Linked DNA regions of Drosophila melanogaster. The protein of the gene in region 1 interacts with the protein of each later gene in a biochemical or structural test. Each region holds a gene or a part of one and is shown in the gene's direction. Other genes may lie near its edges.

Region 1 (7,832 bases):
TTGCCCAAGCGTTTGGCCCGTTTGGCTACCATTTCGGCGGTTACCTCATTCTCATCCTCATTCTCCGGCACAGTGACGCCTTCGAACTGAATGAACTCAATGTAGGATAACCAGAGCACATCGACAATGGGAAACTTGGCCACCGAGCGTTCGAATATGAAACGGATCACAGCGTTTTTGAGGTCATCGTCAAGGGATAATGTCTCCACATCGTAGACATGAGCCTTGTGTTGCTCAGACCAATCCCAACCACGCGTTGTCTCGTCCAGATGTTGCTTAAACTTGTCCACAACGGACTTGATCATCTGCCGCTGCTCCACGTTGCACGTCCAGGTGACGCAGTGCTTTTGCAGCATTTCCACAAAGGCGGCAGCCTCATTTTCGTCCGTAATTGTCGATATCAGCGAACGCAGCTTGTCGCCAAAGTCTGGACGCTCCACGTCGTAGTCCGCCAGCAGTTTGGCCCACAGCACATGGTTCTGTACGTTGCCCTGATCCACCAGGTAGTTGACAACGTATTCGGACAGCGGTATGCCTGCAATATGTAACTCGTCAATTGGTTTAACTACGAATGGATTCTATCTATCGCATACTGTAGTAGTAGCCCAACGCTTTGGCACACTGCTCCTCGAATGCCTTGCGCTCCTCGTCCGTTTGGGTGACGACCAGGCGGGCCTTTAGATACTTCAGCCACACGTGAGCCGGCACAGTGGCCAAATTTTGCAGCTCCAGCACCGATGACTCGATCTTTTCCAGATCATTCAGTTTGCTGCATTAACGAGCATCAACATTAGCTAATGCCGATATTGAAAAAATGGAAAATGGGAGTGGGAGAAGCAGGCAAACTCACAATGCGATTCCAATGAGCGAGACCATTTGGGCAAACTTTTTGCTGGGCAACGCATTCAGCTCCTGATACGAGCGCTCTAGCTGATTTCCGCCGCCAGCGTTGTCGCTATCACTGTCACTGTCACTGGACACCTCACTGTTCGATTCCAATTCCGAGCCTTCGATCACGCCCACATCATCGCTACTGCTGCTGGAATCATTGCGCGCTCTGCCACGGCCAGCGGCATTGCCTCCCTCAGTCTCCTCCACTGACGGCTCGTCGTCCGATGAGATCAACTCAATGGTGGTCATATCCCCGCCGGCGGACGACGGTGGCCAGGTTGGGCGCGATCGTTGGCGCAGCTCCTCCGACTTGTGCTCCTCCTCCTGCTGCGGCGACTCACTGTGCCCCTGCTGCGGCGAGCCCTTGCCCTGATCGGGTATCACGATCAGATCATACTCGTCATACGCATCGTCGTCCAAATCCTCTGCCGGCATCTCGTCCAGCTCCTTCTCCAGCTGCCTTTCCAGCTGCAATATATTGGGCATACGCATAAGGGCGGCGCCTATTGGAGCTATAATCTGACACTCACCTGCTTGTCGGCGTCCATGCTTCAACCGTTTATTTTGGTGGAAAACTTTTCGCTTTCCGTGGAACTGCAATTTTTCCCCCCCAAAAAAAATACAGGAAATAAAAAAACAAAAAAAAAACCGCAAACGCAGGGCTGGCCAATCTAATATCGCGTTGTTGCGCTTATCGTGGAAAATTATTTGGTTTCAGGTTTGGTTTCCCTATTGGGCACTTTTTCTTGGAAAAACTTTCCAAGCACTTACTTTCTGAGAATTCGGTTAACGAAAACTTATCATTTTCTGTCAAGAAACACCGGTAAAGTGTGAATAATATGCGAATTTTTTTTTCGTTATAACAGTGTGACCAGTGCGTAATATCGATAGCTGTGCGCACTCGATAGTTGCGGCAGTCCAGACAATGGCTGTGTTACCAGCAGTGCAGTGAAGACTCGTGATGAGCAATTTGAAGACTAATTTCGGTAATATGTGGTCAATATTAACTGGTTTCTTTGGGCGGTCAGAAATGTATAGCAAAGTCAAATGATAAACTAAATCCTACCAAGAAATATAATTTATTTTAAACATATATATATTTTATAGAAATAAATAAAAATGGAATTTATTTTACTTAAGTGCTATATATATATGTATCATAAAATGTAAACAATTTCTGTTTCTTTTACACAAACTATTTAATAATAATAAACTATTTAATACGCAGCCACATCATAAATGGATTAAGTGTAGACAGTACTCAGGCAAATAATAAAAATATTATACCATTATATGAATGGATTAAGTGTGGACAGTAATTAAGCAAATAATAAATATATTACTATATACTATAATACTATAATAGGAATTGATTAGGTGTAAACAGTAATAAGTCATATAATACATATATTGTATATATTATAGGATATAGTAATAATAATATAATAATAATTAGGCAAATAATAAATACAAATATTATACTATTATAAGAATGGTTTAAGTGTAATAATATTATATATTATATAATAATTAAGCAAATAATAAATATATAATACTATTATAAGAATGGATTAAGTTTAAACAGTAATTAGGCACATAATACATATATTGTATATATTATAGGAATGTATTAAGTGTGGACAGTAATTTAGCAAATAATAAATATATTTTACTATTATAGCAATGGATTAAATGTAGATATTAATTAGGCAGATAATAAATATATACTACTATTATAGGAATTATTTGATAGTTTTCTATATTGTATGCATTACAAATTAAGTCAGATGTTCGGTGGAAACGTTTTAATTATAAATTTGCATATCAACGTATATTTGCTTATATTAGTTAGTTTGCTATGTCCACTATGTTTTATATAATAAAGTTAATAATTATATGTAAATATATAAAAAAAGGAAATAATTATAGCATATATATTTTGCCCGCGCAACCAGTCTTCAAATGCCCACAGTATGGTCACACTACGCTTTTCCCGCGAAAAAACTTTGCATTCGGCGTGCAATTTGCGACATTAGTTTTGTTTGCATTTGCGTTTGCCTCCGAACGGATCGAAGTTGATCCATAAGCGAAATCGAAAGAAGTTTTGTGAACTCCAGTGTACAGCTTAAGTCACAGAATGGCCCACGAGGGGGAGCAGTTCATCAAGGACATACAACGCGAGTATGTGGACTTTCTGGACGACGAGGAGGATCAGGGCATCTATGCGGGCCACGTCAAGGATATGATCGCGGAGAAGAGCAAGCGCCTGATCGTGAATGTCAACGATCTAAAACGCAAGAATCCGCAACGTGCATTGGGGCTACTGAGCAACGCGGCGGATGAGCAGCTGGCCTTTGGCAGGGCGCTCAAGGAGTATGCGTCCACGGTTGATCCGGGCTATGCCAAAATGCATGAGGATCTGTTTGTCGGCTTCGAGGGCTGCTTTGGCAATCGGCATGTGACGCCGCGCTCCCTCACCTCCATCTATCTGGGCAACATGGTGTGCGTGGAGGGCATTGTTACCAAGGTATCGCTGATTCGTCCCAAGGTGGTGCGCAGCGTTCACTATTGCCCCAATACGCGTAAGGTAATGGAGCGCAAATACACCGATCTCACATCGTTCGAGGCTGTGCCATCTGGCGCTGCCTATCCCACAAAGGACGAGGATGGCAATCTGCTGGAGACCGAATACGGTTTGTCCGTTTACAAGGATCACCAGACGCTGACCATTCAAGAGATGCCCGAGAAGGCGCCGGCTGGCCAATTGCCGCGTTCGGTGGATATTGTGTGCGACGACGATCTCGTGGATCGCTGCAAGCCCGGCGATCGTGTACAGATTGTGGGCAGCTATCGCTGTTTGCCGGGCAAACGCGGTGGCTACACCTCGGGCACGTTCCGCACCGTGCTGCTGGCCAACAATATATCGCTGCTCAGCAAGGAGAGCAATTTGGACATATCGCGCGAAGACATCATGCTGTGCAAGAAGCTAGCGAAGAATAACGACATCTTCGAGCTGCTCAGCAAGAGTTTGGCGCCCTCGATTCATGGACATGCCTATGTGAAGCAGGCCATTCTTTGCCTGCTGCTCGGCGGCGTTGAGAAGATCCTGCCGAATGGCACACGCCTGCGTGGCGATATTAATGTCTTGCTTATCGGCGATCCTTCGGTGGCCAAGTCGCAGCTACTGCGCTACGTCTTGAATACGGCACCAAGGGCCATACCGACAACGGGTCGCGGATCCAGCGGCGTCGGTCTGACGGCGGCGGTTACCACGGATCAGGAGACCGGTGAGCGGCGATTGGAGGCGGGCGCCATGGTCCTGGCCGATCGCGGTGTCGTCTGCATTGATGAGTTTGACAAGATGAGCGACATCGATCGCACAGCCATTCACGAGGTGATGGAACAGGGTCGTGTTACCATTTCCAAAGCGGGCATCCATGCCTCGCTCAATGCTCGCTGCTCCGTTTTGGCAGCCGCTAATCCGGTGTACGGAAGGGTAAGAGTCCATCCGAATCCGTCTGTTCATCGCTTTTCTTGCTAATTTCGTCTTCAATTCCAGTATGATCAATATAAGACGCCGATGGAAAATATTGGACTGCAGGATTCGCTGCTTTCGCGTTTCGATTTGCTCTTCGTTATGCTGGACGTGATTGACAGCGATGTGGATCAAATGATTTCGGACCATGTGGTGCGCATGCATCGCTATCGCAATCCCAAGGAGGCCGACGGCGAGCCCTTGTCCATGGGCAGCTCCTATGCGGACTCCTTGTCCTTTGTTTCCAGCAGCGAGGAGGTGGGTTTTCGTCGAAAGGCACGATTATGATTGTGTATAATCGATTGACATGGTCTTGAAATTGTATTTTACAGAAGAAGGACACCGAGGTGTACGAAAAGTACGATGCCCTGCTGCATGGCAAGTCGCGTCAGCGTCACGAGAAGATCCTATCCGTGGAGTTCATGCGCAAGTACATACACATTGCCAAGTGTATGAAGCCCAAATTGGGCGAGCAGGCCTGCGAGGCGATTGCCAATGAGTATTCGCGCCTGCGCTCCCAGGAGGCGGTCGAAACGGATGTGGCACGCACGCAGCCAATAACGGCCCGTACCCTGGAGACCCTCATCCGTTTGTCCACGGCCCATGCCCGGGCACGCATGTCCAAATCGGTGACCATCGACGATGCCCATGCGGCCATCGAACTGGTACAGTTTGCCTACTTTAAGAAGGTGCTGGATAAGGATCGCCCCAGCAAGCGTCGTCGCAACAGCGGCTCCGATGCGGAGGATGACAACGGTGAGGCATCTAGCCAGCGCTCACCATCGCGACGCTCCAAACGCACACGCACAGCGACCGTCGGTGCCGATAGCGATGAGGAGGATATTGAGCCACCACAGCCGGATGCTGGCGATTTGACGCGTCGCGAAACGCGTCGTTCTCTGCCCGCTCGCTCGGTCGCCATGCTGATGGCCAGCCCCTCCAGTGAGGAGCAGTCGGTGGCCACATCGACCACGGAGCCGGCCATCATTAGCGATGCCCGCCTGGGCGAGTTCAAGAACAATTTGCAGCGACTGTTTCGCGAGGCACGCGAACAGAGCTTGGCGCTGGCCAGGATCACCACGGCCATCAACGTTGGCAGCCAGGAGCCGTTCACCGCTGGCGAAATCGAGGCCGCCGTGCATCGCATGACCGAGGACAATCAGATCATGGTCGCCGACGATATAGTCTTTCTCATCTGATCGCGCATTCCAAGGAGCAACAATCGAACGAACGATTGCATCCATCAATCCATCCTTTATCCATCAACCATTCTAGCGCTTAAGTTGTCATTTTTGTTTTGTATTTATATAAAAAAAAAAATAAACACTTTGGAACTCCCATTGCAATCCACGGAATATGTACGTTGGCATAAGGAAAGGCTGCAGCTGTTGGCTAATGTATTATAGTTAACTTATATTTGACATAAACAATTTAAGCGATATACACACAAAGTTGCACAACGGTTTTAAAAGAAACAAACTGAAGGTATAACCAACTGGCTTCACAACTCCCATTCACAATCAGTAAAAAGCTGGAGAGGAAGGGACTGCAATGTTGTGGTTAGTGGTTTCAAGCTGCAGCCACATAGATATTATTGGCATGGTTTTCGACATTTTGAGACATGAGCATTGTTTTCGCATGGATGTGAAAATATGGAAGGGACACATCGATTACATTTAATACTTGACTTGTAGTTTGAACTAACAACATTCATCGCTTCGCTTGGATTCACTTTAGAATTAAACTAGACACAAATACGGCGACTAATCGCCGATTAAAATCTATTTACACTGATAAAGAGCACCGCCAGGCACAATCACACAATCACAGGATACTAGCAGACAGATGTGGAGCAGCCAAAGTGATAAGTGGCAGAAGAGAAGGAGGAGGACGAGGATTGAGCTACTACCATCAAAGATTCACCACATTCTTGAGATCCGGCGGCAGCAAGCCCTTCATGCACTCAATCTGGGCGCGTATCTGCTGCTGAGTTGAGCCATTGTTGCCCTCCAGCTGCGTGGCTTTGTCGCCATAGAGATTCAGTTTTTGCTTGAGCTTGAGTATCATATCGATGATCTCCACCTCCTGCTTGTCGTGCGCCCAGTGCTCGAGATTCGCCACGGATAGCGCCTGCAGCTGTAGATCCTGCAGCGTTAGCTGCAGCTCCCGATGACGTGCACCGTACCAGCCGCGAAAATTGGGCGATCGAAAGAAGCGTCTGTACAGGCCCTTCCAGTCGCCCTTCAGCGGCGACGTTAGCTGCGGCCCAGCGGTTTCCAGCGTGCCCAGAAAGTCATCCAGCTTAAAGCTGTTGGCATTCGGCGCCGACTTAAACGGACTGATGTCCTTTTGCAGCGGCATCAGTGATGCCATATACCGTTCCAGTGGTATCATAAAGCTTTGCGTCAGCTCGAGCAGATGGCGTCGTATCAGTGCGGTTTGCACATGCTCCGGCCGCTTGGTCTTCATGCCCAGCAGCACCTTTTTGATCAGCGCCTTGTCCTTTTTCAGGTACGGCCTATATTTACTGTGCAGGCCCGCGGACGAGGCATCGCCCGAGCCATTGCTGGAACTGGAGCTGCCATTGAGATTGGTGTTCGATTTCAGTGCTATACGGCCACCGAGTTCCGTTGAACTGGAAAATGATGTGGCCGATGCGATGTTCCTTGCGTGTTTTTGGCCCAGCAGCAGATGCTGTTGCTGCTGCATGTTCTTCTGAAAACGAGCAAGACGGATATATTTTGTATTGCGTTAACTGGGATTGGGACACTCACCTGGTTGTCCACCAGTCGCAGCATGTGCGGCCAATCCTTCAGGAGCTTCACAAAGAACGGATTCGTGACGCCCAAAATGCAGGCGGGCAGTGTGGTCTTGCTGCTGCACTCTTGTGTGAATTCGCGAAATTCGCTGTCGTGAATGGTGAAGTAGGGACGCGCCTCGGCGCAATACTCCAGCGGAGCAATCATGGCCAGAAGGGTCTGCACCATGTGGGAGCAGTCGGCGGGTGAGGTGCCAACGACAACAATGGGCTCGGCGGTGATGACCAGCTCCCACAGCGTGTACAGTTGCTCCATGACAAAGTCCAGGGAGCGGAAGAGTTCGATTTCATTAACGGAGGCCAGCACTTTGGCTGCCGGGCAAGCAGCCATGGCTGGTGGCGATTCCACCGCACCACCTGCGATGCCTCCATCGGCCGTCGACTTTCGACTGCTGCTGGTCCGCGGTATGCAGATCTGATAGCTGCAATCCAGCAGAGGCAGCTGGAGCGGCTTACCCACTCGCAGGCCGGGCCACTGGCGATTAATTTGCTCGCTGGCCAGACGCAGGACGTCGGTGCCCTCCTCAAAGTAGCGCGGCGCCAGCTGGGAGAGTATGTCGTAGTACAGATTGAAGAACGGCAGTCGTG
Region 2 (8,145 bases), on another chromosome or scaffold:
CAGCACCAGAGGCGGTGGTCCATCCAGGTCCGGCATGGGCTCACACTCGGCATTGATGTCAAAGGCCATGGAAATCTCATTTACACACATATCGTCGGCATTATCCAGACCCTCGTCATGATCTTCATCCTGCACTACCTCGGCGGCCTTTTCATTTGCCGACTTGGGATTGGGAGCACTTGTGATGATGTAGCCCGTATGCAGCGGTCGCAGATTTGACCTTTCAGCATGTGGCAGCAGTTTGCGCATAAGATTGGTGCTCATAAGTGATGTGGCTGGCCATTGTTCCATTTCTGCATTGAGTGTAGTGTGGTCCTGGACCTCCTCGGTGGACTCTTCGCTGTTCCAAAAATTGTAGGTGGTACGCAAGCGCAATTCAGAGTCGAAACTAGGAAGAATGTTGTGCATCAGACGATTGGAAGCATTTATAGAGCCCACAGTGGAGTTCAGCTTGCCAAACACAGGATCCTGCAAGGGAGCCGTATCCAGCCGGCTGTTCAGCGTTTCTCTGTTTTTGGTCACGGTGGATATGGGTTTCTTTTGCCGTTTGGGCTTCGGTGCTGCTTCTTTTGCTGCCTGTTGCGCTGAGTCCTGACCCTCGCCAGTAGCCTGTTCACCTTGGGGGCCATCATCATCCTCGGCAGCATTTATTTGCTTATCCGTAAGAGTTCGTGCACTCAAGCCAGCTGAAATGCGCATGGCGTCCAAGTAGATGGAGTCCACACGCAGGCCGTAAACCTTGGAAGAGGCTTCTAAAGAGGAACCAGCCATCTAGGGTATAACATCATGAAATTATTACATTTACATAAACTGAATGAGGCAAAACCCACCTTGAAGTTGCTCATGCGCTTGTGATGGTGATCCAGCAAATTGGCCAACGAATCGATGAGCATCAGGTTCCAGGCGTTGTCCTTGCTCACCTTGTTGCCATTGTAGAGCTCCAAGCAATTTTTGATGGTCTCATTGTCCTCGATGGACTCCAGAGTGCTCGACCGGTGATGCTGCTGAAGGAGCGTGCGACGTCGGGCTTCCCGCCTTTCCGCCTCGTCGTCGTTAAAGGGGGTTAGCATGCGGGACACCCCCTCCTGGTAACTGCCTACTGCGGACCGCCTGAGCGGAGTTTCTAAGCGGGGCAGAGTCATCCTTTCAAGGAAGTGGATAAATCAGAGATGAAGTCAGAGAACAGCACAAGGAATTTTGGTTGCCGTAGGCTGATGGTTTTGGAGAGTGTTAATAAGCACACTCACTTTTAATAATAGCTGTGATCCCAATTCGACAGTTTTGAATTTTTTGTTTTTTGATGATTTGTTGATTGTATTTTGTCTATTTCTGTTTTTGCGCTGGTATTGGTAATAGTTTACAGTTTCTTTCAAACGACGCCGCAATTTAGGGCTGCATTTCAGTGTTGGTTAAAACTAAAGGTGTGCCAAGCTAGCTAGATAATATGGACAGGAAAATCGCTAAAGAATTAGCTATAAAGTATTGCGGAATATAATTAACTAGTATAAACATGATACATAATTTTATCATATGAGAAAAATGAAATAAACAAACTTAATTTACACCTTAAAGCTTCGAAATCGAATAAAAACACGATAGCTTACAATGGAATTTCTTTAAGTTCAGGGCTGCACAGGTCCTGCCAGTGCTGAATGGATTTCAACAATGGATGGCCGTTAAATTTCAAATACATGTACCATATTAAAGAAACTACGATCTGTAAAGGAATTAATCTGTTTCAATACTTTTAGTTTTTTATATAATTTTCAGTCCGGTAGTTAATTAGTATTTTTTCTTTTGACAATAAAGTCTTAACCTAAGCAATATTTAATTTGTAAAAACCCTTAATTTTTCCTTGGGACTCTTGCCAACACTGGCGCTGATAATCACCCCATCCCTGGAAGGCGGCAACTTTTACACACACTGCCGCAGAAATTGTAGTCCCTCGCGCAGTTCACATCGAACCAATGTCGTGATTTTTGTTAGTTTTCGTTGTTTTCGTCTGATAAACTCTAAATAACTATCAGCCAGCGCTGTGCGAAAAGCTCGATGTAATCGAATTGGGCAGAAGAAACGCTCAGAGATTCAAACCCATAGCTTCTATAGATCTATAGCTTTTCCGAAGATCGGACTCCTCGTGTATGTGTGCATTTCTGCCTGTGGTAGTGCTGGAGTAACTGGACATTTCGAATTTACGCAGTTCCAGGCAAACCTAACGGGTTTTCCAGTTCGACTTGCGGAATAGCAGGAATACGAGATTACGGGGCTACGGAGTTTCGGAGTTTTGGAATCACTATGGCACGCGACACACAAGGAACGCAGGGAACCCAGAGTCAGGCCTCCAATATCTGGACGCAGGTGGAGAGCCAGCCGATGGAGAAGATAGTCTGGGGTCGATTGTACGGCAAGAACATTAAGATCAAATCGCTGGGTACGAGTTCAAAATACCGAATCATTTATACGCATTCGTCCTTTTCTGTTGGTAACCACATTTCCTCCTGTTTTGTGTCCCCATTGCGTGTGCTCCTCATGTATTAATGACGATCCCATGCTGAACTGTTTGCAGATCTCAACAACGACGAGTTCACCGCAGGACGAGGGGAGGCCAACGACTTGATCCTCACGCTCAACGATTTGCCCGAGAAAATCCTGACGCGCATTTCCAAAGTGCATTTTATCATAAAGCGGGCAAACTGCGAACTTACCAATCCAGTTTATATTCAGGTAGGTGGAAGTTCCAAACCCAAAAGCTCTGAAGGAAGCCTTGAAAAAAAAGATAGCAAATTCAGAACCCACAAGAGCAGAATTCAAATTAAGTTTTATTTATGTTTTGTTGAGATTATCAAAAAAGGTAACTTCAATATTGAATATTTCCCACAATTAATTTACAAAAAGAAGTTACTATTCCGTATAATTCCGTATATTATTAAAATGTAGTAACCTTGTTTCCGCCCATTTCGCAGGATCTCTCACGCAACGGGACGTTTGTGAATAACGAGAAAATTGGCACAAACAGGATGCGAATCCTAAAGAATGACGACGTAATTTCCCTGTCCCACCCAACGTACAAAGGTAAGCGATCGACAAGCAGGTATAGCTATCGACAAGGACTCGCAAGTAATTTGATGTTTTGCACCTGCCCTCCCTTGTAGCCTTTGTATTCAAGGATCTCAGCCCGAATGAGTCGATCGGGCTTCCCGAGGAGATTAACAAGACGTATTATGTAAATCGCAAGCTGGGATCTGGAGCGTACGGACTGGTGCGTTTGGTCTATGACACCCGCACCTGCCAGCAGTTTGCGATGAAAATCGTTAAGAAGAATATGCTCTCTGGGGCGCGACCCAGTACCAATTTCAGTGATCCCGACCGGGTGCTGAACGAAGCCAAGATTATGAAGAATCTTTCACATCCGTGCGTGGTTCGCATGCACGACATCGTGGACAAGCCGGATTCTGTGTATATGGTGCTGGAGTTTATGCGCGGCGGCGACCTGCTTAACCGGATCATCAGCAACAAACTACTTAGCGAGGACATCTCGAAGCTTTACTTTTACCAAATGTGCCATGCCGTCAAGTACCTACACGATCGGGGTAAAACAAATTAGTTTTATTTGGGTTCGAATGTGTTGCTGATTAAGCAAGCCGTTCATTTCTGTTATGCAAATAAGTAAGTCTTCGGAATGGTCATTGAAAACGCCCTTAATTGCAAATCATTCCTGCGCCTTTACGAATTTGCTAGTACGACTACTGCGAACACATCAATCGAATTATTCAACTAACTAGTTTCTACCTTTCAGGCATCACCCATCGTGACCTTAAGCCTGACAATGTTTTGCTGGAGACCAATGACGAGGAGACCCTACTGAAGGTCTCCGATTTCGGGCTGAGTAAGTTTGTGCAGAAGGACTCGGTTATGCGCACGCTCTGTGGCACACCTCTCTACGTGGCCCCTGAGGTGCTGATTACCGGCGGCCGAGAAGCCTACACCAAGAAAGTGGACATTTGGAGCTTGGGAGTGGTGCTATTTACTTGGTAAGTCATTATGTTATTCTCCTACGAAGATAACTTAGCAATATACTCATATCTTGCAGCCTGAGTGGCACTCTGCCCTTTTCGGACGAGTACGGCACCCCGGCGGCCCAGCAAATAAAGAAGGGCAGATTCGCGTATGGACACCCTTCTTGGAAGAGTGTCTCGCAGCGCGCCAAGCTGCTGATCAACCAAATGCTCATTGTGGATCCCGAGAGGCGACCCTCAATCGACGACGTTTTGCAGAGCAGCTGGCTGCGCGATGCGCCCATGCTGCAGAAGGCGAAGAGGCTGATGAAGCTCGATGGCATGGAAATCGAGGAGGAGAACTTCCTTGAGCCACCCACCAAGCGATCGCGACGCTAGGTTTCGTTTCTGTGTTTCCATCGTTAATACGTGAGGGTCGAGGCGCGAAAAGGTTTTAATTTTCTGGAAAAATTAAGCGACAACATTTTTCCCAAAACGCCGACACCGCCGCATCCGAGTGTATTGGCGAATTTAAGTATTTTTTGCGGTTGTTAATTTTTACGTGTTGTCTAGTGTAAGTTTCATCGCCCAAGCCCGGTTTATCCTGTTAAACTGCATTTAAACTGGGCTGCTGCTTCACAATTTTTTTAAGATTCCTATCGATTTGAATTCTGCCATTTCATTGGACTATTATTACGATTTATTACTTGTAACTGTTCAGTAACTATAAGTGTTAAATGTAAGAATGACTCTTCAGCAAACCATTCCGCTTTTTGAAATAAAGCAATTGAATTTGTTCGGCAGCAAAATTATTTGATAGCGTGCGTCACCATTTTGCGGCCATGTCCAATGGTGATGAGGGTGCTATCATCGGTCCAAACGGCATCAGTTAGGCGAGAATGGGTGTCCTGGTGCGTGTAGATGAACTCATGGCCCGCCTGCACATTGGCCACTTTCACGGAGGCGGGCAAATTGCTCATCGCAGCCAGATGGGGCCTGAAAATATGTGCGTTAATGCAAATCGTCATTGTTTCGCTTAAACTTGTACCCATTGATTAATAACTGGGCGACATGGCCCTTGTCGAAGTATTCCCTGGTTTCCGCCAGTTTTCGTGGCACTCGAATGTCCAGAGTATGAACTTTGCCGTCATAGTCCCCGAGATAGATGTGATTGTCACCCTGCAGCTCCGAGGCAGCTGCCCAGGCGGCACTGGTGAAGCTCAGCACGTGGCTGGCATCCGCATAGAGGCACGTGGAAGATGGAGCCGCTGCCCGGACATCCCAAAGGCGGGCACAGCCGCCACGATCACAGGTCACAAATTTATCGACTGAAGCTGCGGGTGTGGCCAGGCCAGTCAACTTGTCGGTATGCGAGGAGCGCGATCTGTAGGTGCTCACCATATCGGCGCCCGAGAGATCCCAGACCTGCAAAAGGGTAACATTTGTATATTTTCCATACATCCACATCACCTTTATACATACATTGAGGGTACTGTCCGCTGAGCCCGAAACGGCAGTGCGGGGATCCGCCTTGAAGACGCTCAGTTGGCTGATGGGTGTGGGATGCGCACTGGACTCGCCCACGAGGAAGAGGCAGTATGGCGACTGAGAATCTCGCACCTTGGAGTATGTGGACCAGGCCTGGAGTCGGGTATCCCCAAGGGCCACCAGTAGGAAATCATCCTCAGCGTAGCGCACAATGTTCACCGTGTGCTCCGCCTGCAGCTTGAAGTTCGCCGAGTCCACGCTCATATGGTGCATCTGGTCGCGTCCGTAGCCGAACAACATGCCCCACCATTGGCGTCCTTCGCGTCGGTTTGTGGCCAGGGCCAGGTGGTTGTGATCATTGATAGCGATGCTGTCCCAGCAGTCGTGCAGTCGCGGCGAAAGGTTTTCCAATCGCGCGTTTAGGTCCGCAATGTTGAGGTTCGGGTACTCCAGATTCCCGGCCAGCTCCAGTGCCGGCGGAGGCTGGTGGGTCACCGGAGTGCGGTACAGCTCCGAGCTGCGTTGCGGGAACATCGTCTCTCACTCAAGATTCCGTAAAACAACAGAGAATCGGCCAGCAAGGAAGAGCAACGAGCCCGGCAAGACCAAATACATCGATTTGTGTACCAATCGAAATATCGATATTATTAGACATTAATATTAGAGATAATCGCGCGAGCTGGATACTCTGGAGTTTTTTTTTTTTTTTTTTTTGATTGGTTTATTCAAAATGAGTTCGTTTATTCCGATTAATATCAGTATTATGAACTCGGAAAAATGTATACTGACCTATTTTAATAATTTTTAATTGCACTTCTTCACGAGTTGAGATGAAAGTGTCGATTAATAGAAAGACTTTGAAAATACGTTTTGCAAGTTTTTTTTAGCATTTCTATTTACAGCTTTCATTTTCAAATTGAGCAATCTTGGTGCGCATCATCACTAGGAGGACATCCAAAATTATGATAGTTAGTCATTTATAGATTGGTCAAAGGATTGGTTAAAGGTTCAGAACACGTTCAGAATTCCTTACTCATTTTTGATAAAATTGTGAAGGATAATTTTCAAGAACAACACTTTAAAATGCCATAAAGAATATATTTATTTATATAACAATAAGACTTCCGATACAGGAGTTCCGAAATCGCCAGGCGGTAATTAAAAAAAGAGAATGGCGCACTTTACAACTGCAAAGTTTCTACATTACGTTTACATTTCACATTGCTTAACGGTATAGTTGTGAGCAACGGTATTTTTTAGGGGATTTCCCGCCACTATGGACATTTACCGTTCGCTTGCAAGCGGTCACACAGTTGTTATTTTTGTTTATTATTATCGCGTCGCTCGTTGCGCGCTGGTTTATTTTTTGAAAAGTGCGTTCCTAGCGCGAGTGGTCAGCGTCCCAAACGTCGTAGATTCCATCGCCTGAGCCATCAAGAACTAAATATTTCCTTACATAACTGCGGAATACTTCGACTCTGCAGTAAGCCACGCGACGGAAGGCAATCAACAAAGACACGCAAGTGCTTGCACACTGGGCTATTATGCAAATTGCGCCACTGCAGCTGGTCTAAGATTGCAAGGAAGGGCGACAGAGCAACACACACACACACAAAGTGCCTGGGCAGAACGAGCGGAACCGCCTCCCCAATCAGCTGTGATCTCTGCGGTCGGGCCTCCATCGAGTGGGCGGAGAATGGGCGGGATGGGGGGCGGCGGGCTGCTGGACATCTACGCCATGGCCTGGGAGCACCTAAGACCCGGAAGCTCGCCCGTCGACTGGTGCGAAGGCAACTACTTGATTTCGTCCAACATCGCCGAGTTCGTGAACACGGTGCGTATGTGCGATTTATTTAACGTTGTATGTAATTTGTGCGCTCTGCTTTCGCTGCCCCACTTAGTTGTCCCCGCAGTGGTCGTAGTTGCTCTTCTCACCCCTTCGCAGACAGCTGCTAGTTTTCCCTTTGAATAGGCCTTGACCTTTTTAGAGCGAGACCGACTGGCAACGTAAACAAAAGATGCTGTTTGCCACGCTTTGTTTGCGTTGGTGTGACGATGGGCTGGGGGTGGGGGTCATTTTCGCACCCGGAAAATGCGACACCCGGAAAATTCAGTTTTCTTATCGCCCTGAGCTTCACACCTGTCCGATCGATATAAAACTTGGTATTGCGGACAGGGCAAAGCATAATGAACACTTTGTCCTCGGACTGGAAACTTGTGTCTCTTCAGACTTGGCCGCTACACGGACTTCAAACTAAGTCCTGCAAGGGCTAGCTTCTCTCATTTGGTTGTTATCATCTCTTTCATATATAATATGATTTATATAACTACTTTGAACCCGGCTGTCCGATGTTATTAGATTTGAAATATGTAGATTATACGCTCGCGATTTCATTTAGTTAGTCAGCCGTTTGCATTTGTCATTATAGTAAAACAGCCTAAACAAATAGCTGTGCTGGTGGTAATGAATGGCATCCGCATTAATATAAACGTTCTTACAATCGTAACTCGTAACTCAATATGTGACGGGCTCACTTTCATTAGGCCTTATCAAGGTTAATCGTCTGAAGCTAACCATTGATAGAAACGCTGTTTACGAAAACAACGCACTAAAAGTGGATCAAAACAACATTTTTTCTGATATTCTAATTAACAATATAAG
Region 3 (7,825 bases), on another chromosome or scaffold:
TTCTCTTTCACTTGGAATAACCTTGCGCAATTTGAAATTTGTAACATGTTGGGAGGGGCTTTTCACTGCATATTTCCGTTTCGTGCTCTGCAACCGGAAGTGCACACACACACACACACACACACTCATAGCCAAAACCACCACACCAACACACTCAAGTACTTTTTCATATATTTTTTTTCTACGGTTTGGTAACTTTTAAGAGGGTGTTTGACCCATAAATGAATTTATGCCAATTTAGAACGGCAAACACAGTTGTGGGCTTGGAAAAACTTCGGTTAGGGGGATTAAGCATTGGGCGGGGGCGTTGGCTAACCAATTAAAGCGAGTTTTTTTTTTGGGGGTTGTTTATTTATTTAGTATTCCCTGTTGCTTTTGCAGGGGCAGCATAACCGGATATATTTGTGCAATTATTTTAATGGCCTAGGCAATAACACAGAAACACACACAAACACACAAATGACTAGTGGCTAGCCCATTTTTTATTTGAAATTTACTTTCTTTGCTCGAGCTTTTCTTTTGCCTTTGGCCAAATAATTTTGGCTTTAATAATTAAAAGTATTTTGGGTTGCCCGCTGTTTTCCGAGTTTCTCGTGCGCCTTGGCCAGCAGTCGACTTGCAACTGAGCAAGTGAAAAAGTCGAAACAGCTGAAAAAGTGCAAGGACTCCCGATCCCAAAACCGATTCCTACAGACCAGACGAACTCTGAACCGAGTTTAAATGTCTGTGGGGGTATTTCTATTCAATGGTGGCCCCAAAAACTCAATGAAAACGGCAAGCCGGCTGCAGGCGATGCAGCGCGCATGTGTCCTGTAGTAAAACGGCGGCAAGGATAATGACCTCTTCGAGGTGCAGGTCGCTTCTGCATGGGCGAAAAAAACCGTTGGTGGAAGGTAAGAATTTCTTTTAGATTTTATATTCCCTTTTCTACTTGATGTTCTCAAATTTTTTTTTTTCCTTATTCCCAATTTGTTAAAACCTCACTTTACAGCAATTTTAAAAAGTCCGCGCAACATAACAGCGATTAGGAACACTGTCACTGTAATAATCTTTGCAGTACTTTTTTTGCGGTAGTTGTGAATTTCGTATCCCGTGACTTTTGTTGAATAATCGATATCAACGAACAGTAATCGATATGTGCTCTAAACAAACAAACATGTAATTAAAATTAATTAAAATACGGACAGTTTGTTTACCCCAAAACAGATAGTTTAGTGATCCACCGAAATGAGTGTGTTCCCAAGATATCCAAACACCAGGCTAGACCTGTAGCATTAATAATATTGTGGTCTTATTGTGGACTTTTGCAATGCTTAGTGCGGATCGGGATTCGGTGGAGGAAGAATATGGATCGTGCTCGGCCTGGAAATTCCGTTGCAGCGTGGACAGGTGCCCCTACAGGACGAACAGACCCTACAATCTGGCGCGTCATGAGGAGTCCCACATTGGTATTACGCAGTCCAAGCTATACGGATGCCCCGTTTGCGTTTACAACACCGACAAGGCGTCGAACCTGAAGCGGCACGTGTCTATCAAACATCCTGGGTGCAAAAAGCGCCCTCCGGAAGCGCAGCACAAGGATCGCAATGCCAAGTTGCAGTGCCTGGTGATGGGATGCAGATACGAGACAAATCGTCCATACGACCTCAAGCGCCACTTGATGGTGCACAACAATCCGGAGAAGAGCCACAGGACGTTTAAGTGCTCCCTTTGCACCTACAGCTCCGACCGAAAGGCCAATCTCAAGCGGCACCACGAGCTACGCCATTCGGGCATAGAGGAGGCCATTCAAACTGCGGAGGAACTGCGCCAGGAGATGCTGCTGGAGAAGCAAATGCTGAAGGAACATAAGCTAAAATATCAGATCACAGAGAAACAGGATTTGAAGAATCTAAAGTTGAAGGACCAAAAGCAGAAGGTGCAAATGCTGAGGGATCAGCAACCGAAACAAAGGCAAAAGAAAGAACAGTTGCTGGAGGACCAGAGTCCTGTGCTGAATAAGCAGCTGGAGCACGGAAATATTCCTTTAAAAGAAGCCCTGGTAGGCAGTATGAAATACGACGAGGAAAGTTTGGAATTTGTTTACGAGGAACTGCAGGAGGAGGAGCAGCCGCCCATCATCACCATTAGCAACCCGCAGATTCTCCATGGAGACATCCGGGATAAGCACGTCATCGTAAGCATTGCAAAATGTAGTTGTTAAATTCGCTCTTCAATCATTAACAACATTTACAATGTTTGCAGGCTGTCAACGTTGATGGCCAGTTGCGATGGTTCCAGTCAATAGATCCACCGCCGGGAGCTCCAACAAAATTGGAGCTGCCCATAAAGAGCACTTCAATTTCTGTCCAGCAGCAAATGGACGAATTAGACGATGAGTTGGCCATGTCCCTTGCCGAAGAAGATCAGCAGGATGAGTTTCTTGTGCCAATGCTGAGCGGAGAGGAACCAGTTAAAATAAAACAATCATCGCTGACCGATCTGGCTTGGAGTTGGAGTACGCCGGATGTAAGAAAGAACTATAAACGAAAAAAACGAACTTTTCCTAACAATGTTTTTATCACTAAAGGCTGTACATCACATAAGTCCCAAAGCGGAACTCAAGAAGGACCTTAAAGCTGGCGATGCAGATACAGATTTTCCAGATTGGTGGGATGATGGCAAGTACACAAAGATGCAAAAGAACCAAACATTTGCAAAGCACTCAAAGAAGCCGTCGCAGGAGAATGTGCAACGCATCCTGCGCATCATCTATGACATTTACTACAAACCCTTCAAGGAAGATCGCAAGCAGTTCGAGGCATTTCAAATTAAGGACTCCTGGCTGTGCGCGACTCGAATGACTCGCATGCAGATAATCAAGGACATGTACTCTAAACAGGGCACGTTAAGTCAAACTTGATGATAAAAAATGTATCATCCCTTTGGTATTTGTATAAGAATACCATTAAGTTGTTTACTATTTAAAGTGTAAAGTAAACGAATTAAGAAAATCCCAAGTACTTTAAAACTAGTTAATTAACCTTTAATTTAAGCCCAAAAACAAGTATAGGAGTAGTTTAAAAAAGAAAGAATACTATAGTCGAGATCCCCGACTATCATATAACCGTTACTCAGCTAGTGTGAATGCGAACGCGAAATTTAATCCTCTGGGATATTAATAAATATTGTATAATGTGAAAAAATTTAAAAAAAATTCAAACGTGTGGGCGTGACCGGTTTGGCGGCTTTAGGGCGTTGGAATGGGCGTGGCAAAAAGTTTTTTGGCAAATCGATAGAAATTTAAGCGACTAATAAAATTATGAAAAATATCCAACAATTTTTTTTTTAAATATGGGCGTGTCAGTTTTGTGCGGTTTGTGGGCGTCGCAACATGGGTTCCGCTGCGTCTTTATCTCTAGAATATGTATGCTAAATCTCAACCTTCTAGCTTTTAAAGTTTCTGATATCTCGTCGTTCATACGGACAGACGGACATGACTAGATCGACTCGGCTATTGATTCTGATCAAGAATATATACTTATATATAAATATATACACTTTATATAGTCGGAAACGCTTTCTTCTGCATGTTACATACTTTTCAACGAATCTAGTATACCCTTTTACTCTACGAGTAACGAGTATATTTTAGGAATTGTGTTATTCAATAAATTGTGTGTTGAAAATGTCTACACTACGATCGATTATTGAAGAAAAAATAAATTCAATGAAAATTAAAAACAATTAGTCAATAATTATATATTATTTTAAATATGACTATTTATAGTACCGGATAATAATCATATTTAAAAAAGTGTATTTAATATTAACAGCTAAATACTGTAATGATTTTAAGCTAAATACAAATAAAATCAGCTAAATACTGAAATCACAAATTTATGTGCCTTGTGATTTTCGACGATCGATACTTGGGATCCGAAACGGATAACCATCGATATCAGCGATTTACTGGAGAAATCGATAGCTTGCACTGTGCATCCAGTTTTGCTCCAGCCCTATCGCAAACTAAAGTATATTTTAGCAGCGTTTGCGGAATTTTTTGCATTTCAGTTACTCCAAGTGTGAATAAGAGCACGGTCGCTGTTATAGTGTCTTGCAAAGCAGTGAATTAAAAAAGTTTAATAATCCAAATCGAGAATCCCAAATTTGTGTAGACGTAGCAACAACAGTAAAACGCGCTGGCCGGAAAAGACGCTGCTGGTGAGTTGGAATAGTGGTGCATAAATTAGGAATGTATATATGCTGATTCGTGGGGCATTACCCTTTGTTTATTTAATGACTTGCTTGCTGCACCCCGCTCCCCCTTCCTTAACCTTTTGTTTAACTTTTTGGCGCAATATTATTCACCTTGACCACGCACCGGTGTGCAAAAGATTCACCGCACACCGGTGCACTTAAATTCACCACAGCCTTAATAATTCTTACGGCATTTCCGTGCTCAATGGTGAATGGTCGCACTGAAACTATTCTTTGAAAATAACGGAGTAAACATTCAGTCTCAGATTCTGAGAACTTGTTGACAGTGTAGCTGTTCAATTGTTTTCATGGCGAGTTCTCGGAGTATTTTTTGTTAGGTGAGTTTTAGGTTATGTCTGATGTCAGAAAATTAACAAATAAATTTCGCCTAAGACAACGCACGATCATGGCATGGGTTCCCAATTCGCAGTTCGAGGATGATCTGGTCGACATGGAGCCGGATTTCAATTTTGTCCATGGTCAACTGGCCTACGACATGAAGAAGCAAGGGGAGTTTTGGCCGCGACCGAAATGCACATATGAATATCTGAAGTCCCGGGAAAAGAGGAATTCCGAGCTCGAAAATATCCATGGAAGCAGAGGCGGAACTGGTCGTGATATTCGGCAAAGCCTTCAGCTAATGGAGAACATACAGAAGATAGCAGGCACAAGGCCGCTGGGCGAGCACGCCACTATGAAAGATTGGGAGGATGAAAGCACAAATGAGCTAGAGGCGTTAGCCATGATGCGTCACTTCGGAATGATGTCCATGGCAACAGATTCGCTGCCCGTTCTGCCCGAAGTAAAACCACCAGAAGGACCCATTAAAATTATAAGAAACGGACGGAAACAATTTCCCCTCATCACAGACCCCGAATTTTTTAAACCACGCAAGATTCCCCGAACGAAGAATTCCAGTTCCAGTAGTTCGTATCATACTGCCAATAGTTCAATCAGTTCCTTCAGCCTTTATGAATCTGCCGCTTCAGATTTGGACAGCAGCAAGAAGCAGGGCGAGATCAAGGCGTCAAAGTCGGAGAAATACCTCGAAGTACCTTACAAACAGCTTGCGGAGAGTTACGACCAGGAAGTGGAATCACCAGTCCAATTTGGAAACCAATTCAATGAATGAAGGAGGAACCAACGGGGAATGCAATTATTAGAACCAAAAAATCAATCACTTTTTATATATAAGCTTCTGTAACATGTAAATAAACGGCTTAAACGTCGTTTAGAAAACCGAATTTATATTGGATGCAGTTCTACAAATAGAAAGAAAAATACTTGATATCATAGGGTAAACAAAATATTTATCTATTTTAATAAATTAAATGCGAAAGGAATGTTAGTGCTGTAGAATTCAATATATCCTTAAATGAATTTTTTTATATTAATTTATTGTTGCAAATGCATGTTTCCCAAACCATTTGGTAATTATTCAATTGTATCCCCTCCTAAATATGAAAAAATTGGAATATAGTCGGAAATATAATCGAGGTATTAAAATTTATGTTTATCGATTAAATCGATCGCGCTTATCAACGCACTATATTATAGCTAGAACATCGTATTTATAGAAAATAATTTTATGGCGTGTTTAATAACACACGCCAGACGTCTCTTTCAATAGCTACTTTGCGGCATATTGGGCACATATCGGCATGCTGCAAGTGGGTCCGGATGCACATCTCCCCAAAAAGGTGACCACATCTAAGCGAAACCAAGCGGTGATGATCCTTCGCTTCCCAAGGATCCAGGCATATGCAGCAAGTATTTTCGATGGCAATCTTCTCAAGCTGCTGTGTTAATTCGTCCTTGGACTCGAACAACAACTGCTCTTGCAATAATTTCTGATTGGTTATCTCTTCTTCCATTTGGTAATATAGCTTGAGTTCCTCCTCGCGCATTTTATCCTTCTCTTGAGTTGTAATATTTAGCTTCGCCAGTTGCTTGTCCTTTTGCTCACTTTTTTTCCTTTCCGCTAAGAGCTGCTCAACAACATCCTTCTTCAGCATCCTCATCAACGAGCGAGTCTGGGCTTTGTTATTGGGCATATTGTAAAGAAATTAAAATTACAAGGTGAACGAATTTTTTAGACAAGCACTTTTAGAACGAATGTCTTCTCAGTGAAGGTTTAAGCGTGGACTGCCTAGATTGAACAAAATTATTTTTTCTTGTAATCATTAGAATTAGTTGTGTGTTGCATTTTCCAACACAGCCAACATATTTACAGCTGTCAAAAAAAAAATCCATTTCAAAATAAAACTCGACTGTAATATTTGCGAATCGTTCACATCGAAAACGAGATGGATAAACAAGATATTACAAAGATGACCAAGAAAAAACTCATCGTTGAGGTCATTAAGCAGCGAAAACGGAACAAAGAAAAGGACGAAATCATCAAGGATAGTTTCGAGTCCAAAAAGCGTTTAATTGATCTGCGACTGCAACTGGACAAGGAGAAGAACATAACGAAGGAGTTGCGACTGAGGCTAGCGGCGCAGGACGCGATTGCGAATCAAGCGGAGAACCTGTCTATGAAACGAAAGAAGATCGCCGAAGAGAACAAGTGCTACATTTGCAAATGGAATTATGAGGTTACCGGAGACCATCGCCCAGTTTCAATTAAATGCGGTCACCTTTTTGGAGCGAATTGCATACTACATTACTTGCAGCGTAACAAGACATGCCCCATCTGCAAATCACAGATGATCCGCTGTATGGATGTTCGCATTATTATAGCAGGTCAAAATTTGTGCACGGCTGAATTATTACAGTAAACATTACATTTGCTGGGAAGTTGGACAAAATAAAAACCCAAGCAAAAGAAACAAGAGAAATTAATATTTTCTTGTATGTTTGTGATAATTAAACCACCACAATCATTTTCTCAATTTTTATTCAATTTCCCTTATTCAATCAATAGATGATTTGAACATTTGGCAAGCGTATATCGCAAGTGGAGTGAGACCCCCCGTAATTCCTTAATCAATAAACCACACTCCACTATATGCATACATAAATAATTTGTTATTGTTTTTGTGTGCGGGAACTATTATTATCAATTAAGCAATAATCTGTCGCAGAGTTTGCCAAATAACATTGAGAAAGTGGCTCACGTAATAAAGTAGAGGGAATTTGAAAAGTAGTGTAGTAGTAGTAGTAAAAGAATCAAGTTAAATAATAACGTTAATGTAGGTACATATGTATTGCTTAAAAATATAAATATTTTAGTGCATTTACTAATGTAGAGCAAGGTCCTTATCTGACTAATTGAATCAGGCTACAGTAACTTACTGGCTAAATTAGCAAACTTGTGCTGAGTTTTGGCGGTGCGAGTTGTCTGTCTCCTTTTTGTGGTGGCTGCTTCTCTCCCGTTTATTTTCGCGTGCATCTTCTCTTCCCGCCCGAGAAAAGTGTGAACTCACGAACACACGCAGCCAAAAGTTTTTAGTTCCGTGGCAACCACGTGCGTCTTTTGTTTCCTTTTTTCTTCTCTTGCGATTTTCCTTACTTCGCTCCCTTTTCTTCTATTCGCCGGGGTTGTCAAGCAGAAGTTTTGTTGTTATAAGTGGTGAAATGGATG

Evidence for each region.
Region 2: of the proteins of Mcm3 (region 1) and lok, one has a biochemical effect on the other in vitro, tested with the Drosophila melanogaster proteins (one study listed by BioGRID).
Region 3: of the proteins of Mcm3 (region 1) and grp, one has a biochemical effect on the other in vitro, tested with the Drosophila melanogaster proteins (one study listed by BioGRID).

Annotation. Positions count from the first base shown.
Region 1 is NC_004354.4:5,320,969-5,328,800, forward strand, and holds Mcm3 (minichromosome maintenance 3), read left to right. Parts: upstream 1-2,886; 5' UTR 2,887-3,028; coding exon 3,029-4,387; intron 4,388-4,450; coding exon 4,451-4,684; intron 4,685-4,758; coding exon 4,759-5,625; 3' UTR 5,626-5,770; downstream 5,771-7,832. Other genes in the region: Rnp4F (RNA-binding protein 4F), read right to left, coding at 1-535, 594-769, 851-1,359, 1,422-1,439; CG3309 (uncharacterized protein), read right to left, coding at 6,338-7,141, 7,201-7,832. UniProt on the Drosophila melanogaster protein: Acts as a component of the Mcm2-7 complex (Mcm complex) (Mcm complex) which is the putative replicative helicase essential for 'once per cell cycle' DNA replication initiation and elongation in eukaryotic cells.
Region 2 is NT_033779.5:20,059,582-20,067,726, forward strand, and holds lok (loki), read left to right. Parts: upstream 1-1,840; 5' UTR 1,841-2,139; exon of another isoform or gene 2,140-2,200; 5' UTR 2,201-2,295; coding exon 2,296-2,482; intron 2,483-2,566; coding exon 2,567-2,724; intron 2,725-2,963; coding exon 2,964-3,072; intron 3,073-3,152; coding exon 3,153-3,590; coding exon of another isoform or gene 3,591-3,604; exon of another isoform or gene 3,605-3,737; intron 3,738-3,796; coding exon 3,797-4,031; intron 4,032-4,090; coding exon 4,091-4,394; 3' UTR 4,395-4,800; downstream 4,801-8,145. Other genes in the region: barr (barren), read right to left, coding at 1-771, 831-1,142; vls (valois), read right to left, coding at 4,805-4,991, 5,044-5,420, 5,478-6,017; bwa (brain washing), read left to right, coding at 7,180-7,317. UniProt on the Drosophila melanogaster protein: May have a role in germline establishment.
Region 3 is NT_033779.5:16,676,074-16,683,898, forward strand, and holds the start of grp (grapes), read left to right. Parts: upstream 1-3,980; 5' UTR 3,981-4,203; intron 4,204-4,376; exon of another isoform or gene 4,377-4,577; intron 4,578-4,632; exon of another isoform or gene 4,633-4,645; coding exon of another isoform or gene 4,646-5,371; exon of another isoform or gene 5,372-5,580; intron 5,581-5,745; exon of another isoform or gene 5,746-5,825; coding exon of another isoform or gene 5,826-6,293; exon of another isoform or gene 6,294-6,329; intron 6,330-6,429; exon of another isoform or gene 6,430-6,545; coding exon of another isoform or gene 6,546-7,019; exon of another isoform or gene 7,020-7,217; intron 7,218-7,536; exon of another isoform or gene 7,537-7,825. Other genes in the region: her (hermaphrodite), read left to right, coding at 1,310-2,176, 2,245-2,508, 2,570-2,902; squ (squash), read left to right, coding at 4,646-5,371; CG31807 (uncharacterized protein), read right to left, coding at 5,826-6,293; CG33552 (uncharacterized protein), read left to right, coding at 6,546-7,019. UniProt on the Drosophila melanogaster protein: Serine/threonine-protein kinase which is required for checkpoint-mediated cell cycle arrest and activation of DNA repair in response to the presence of DNA damage or unreplicated DNA.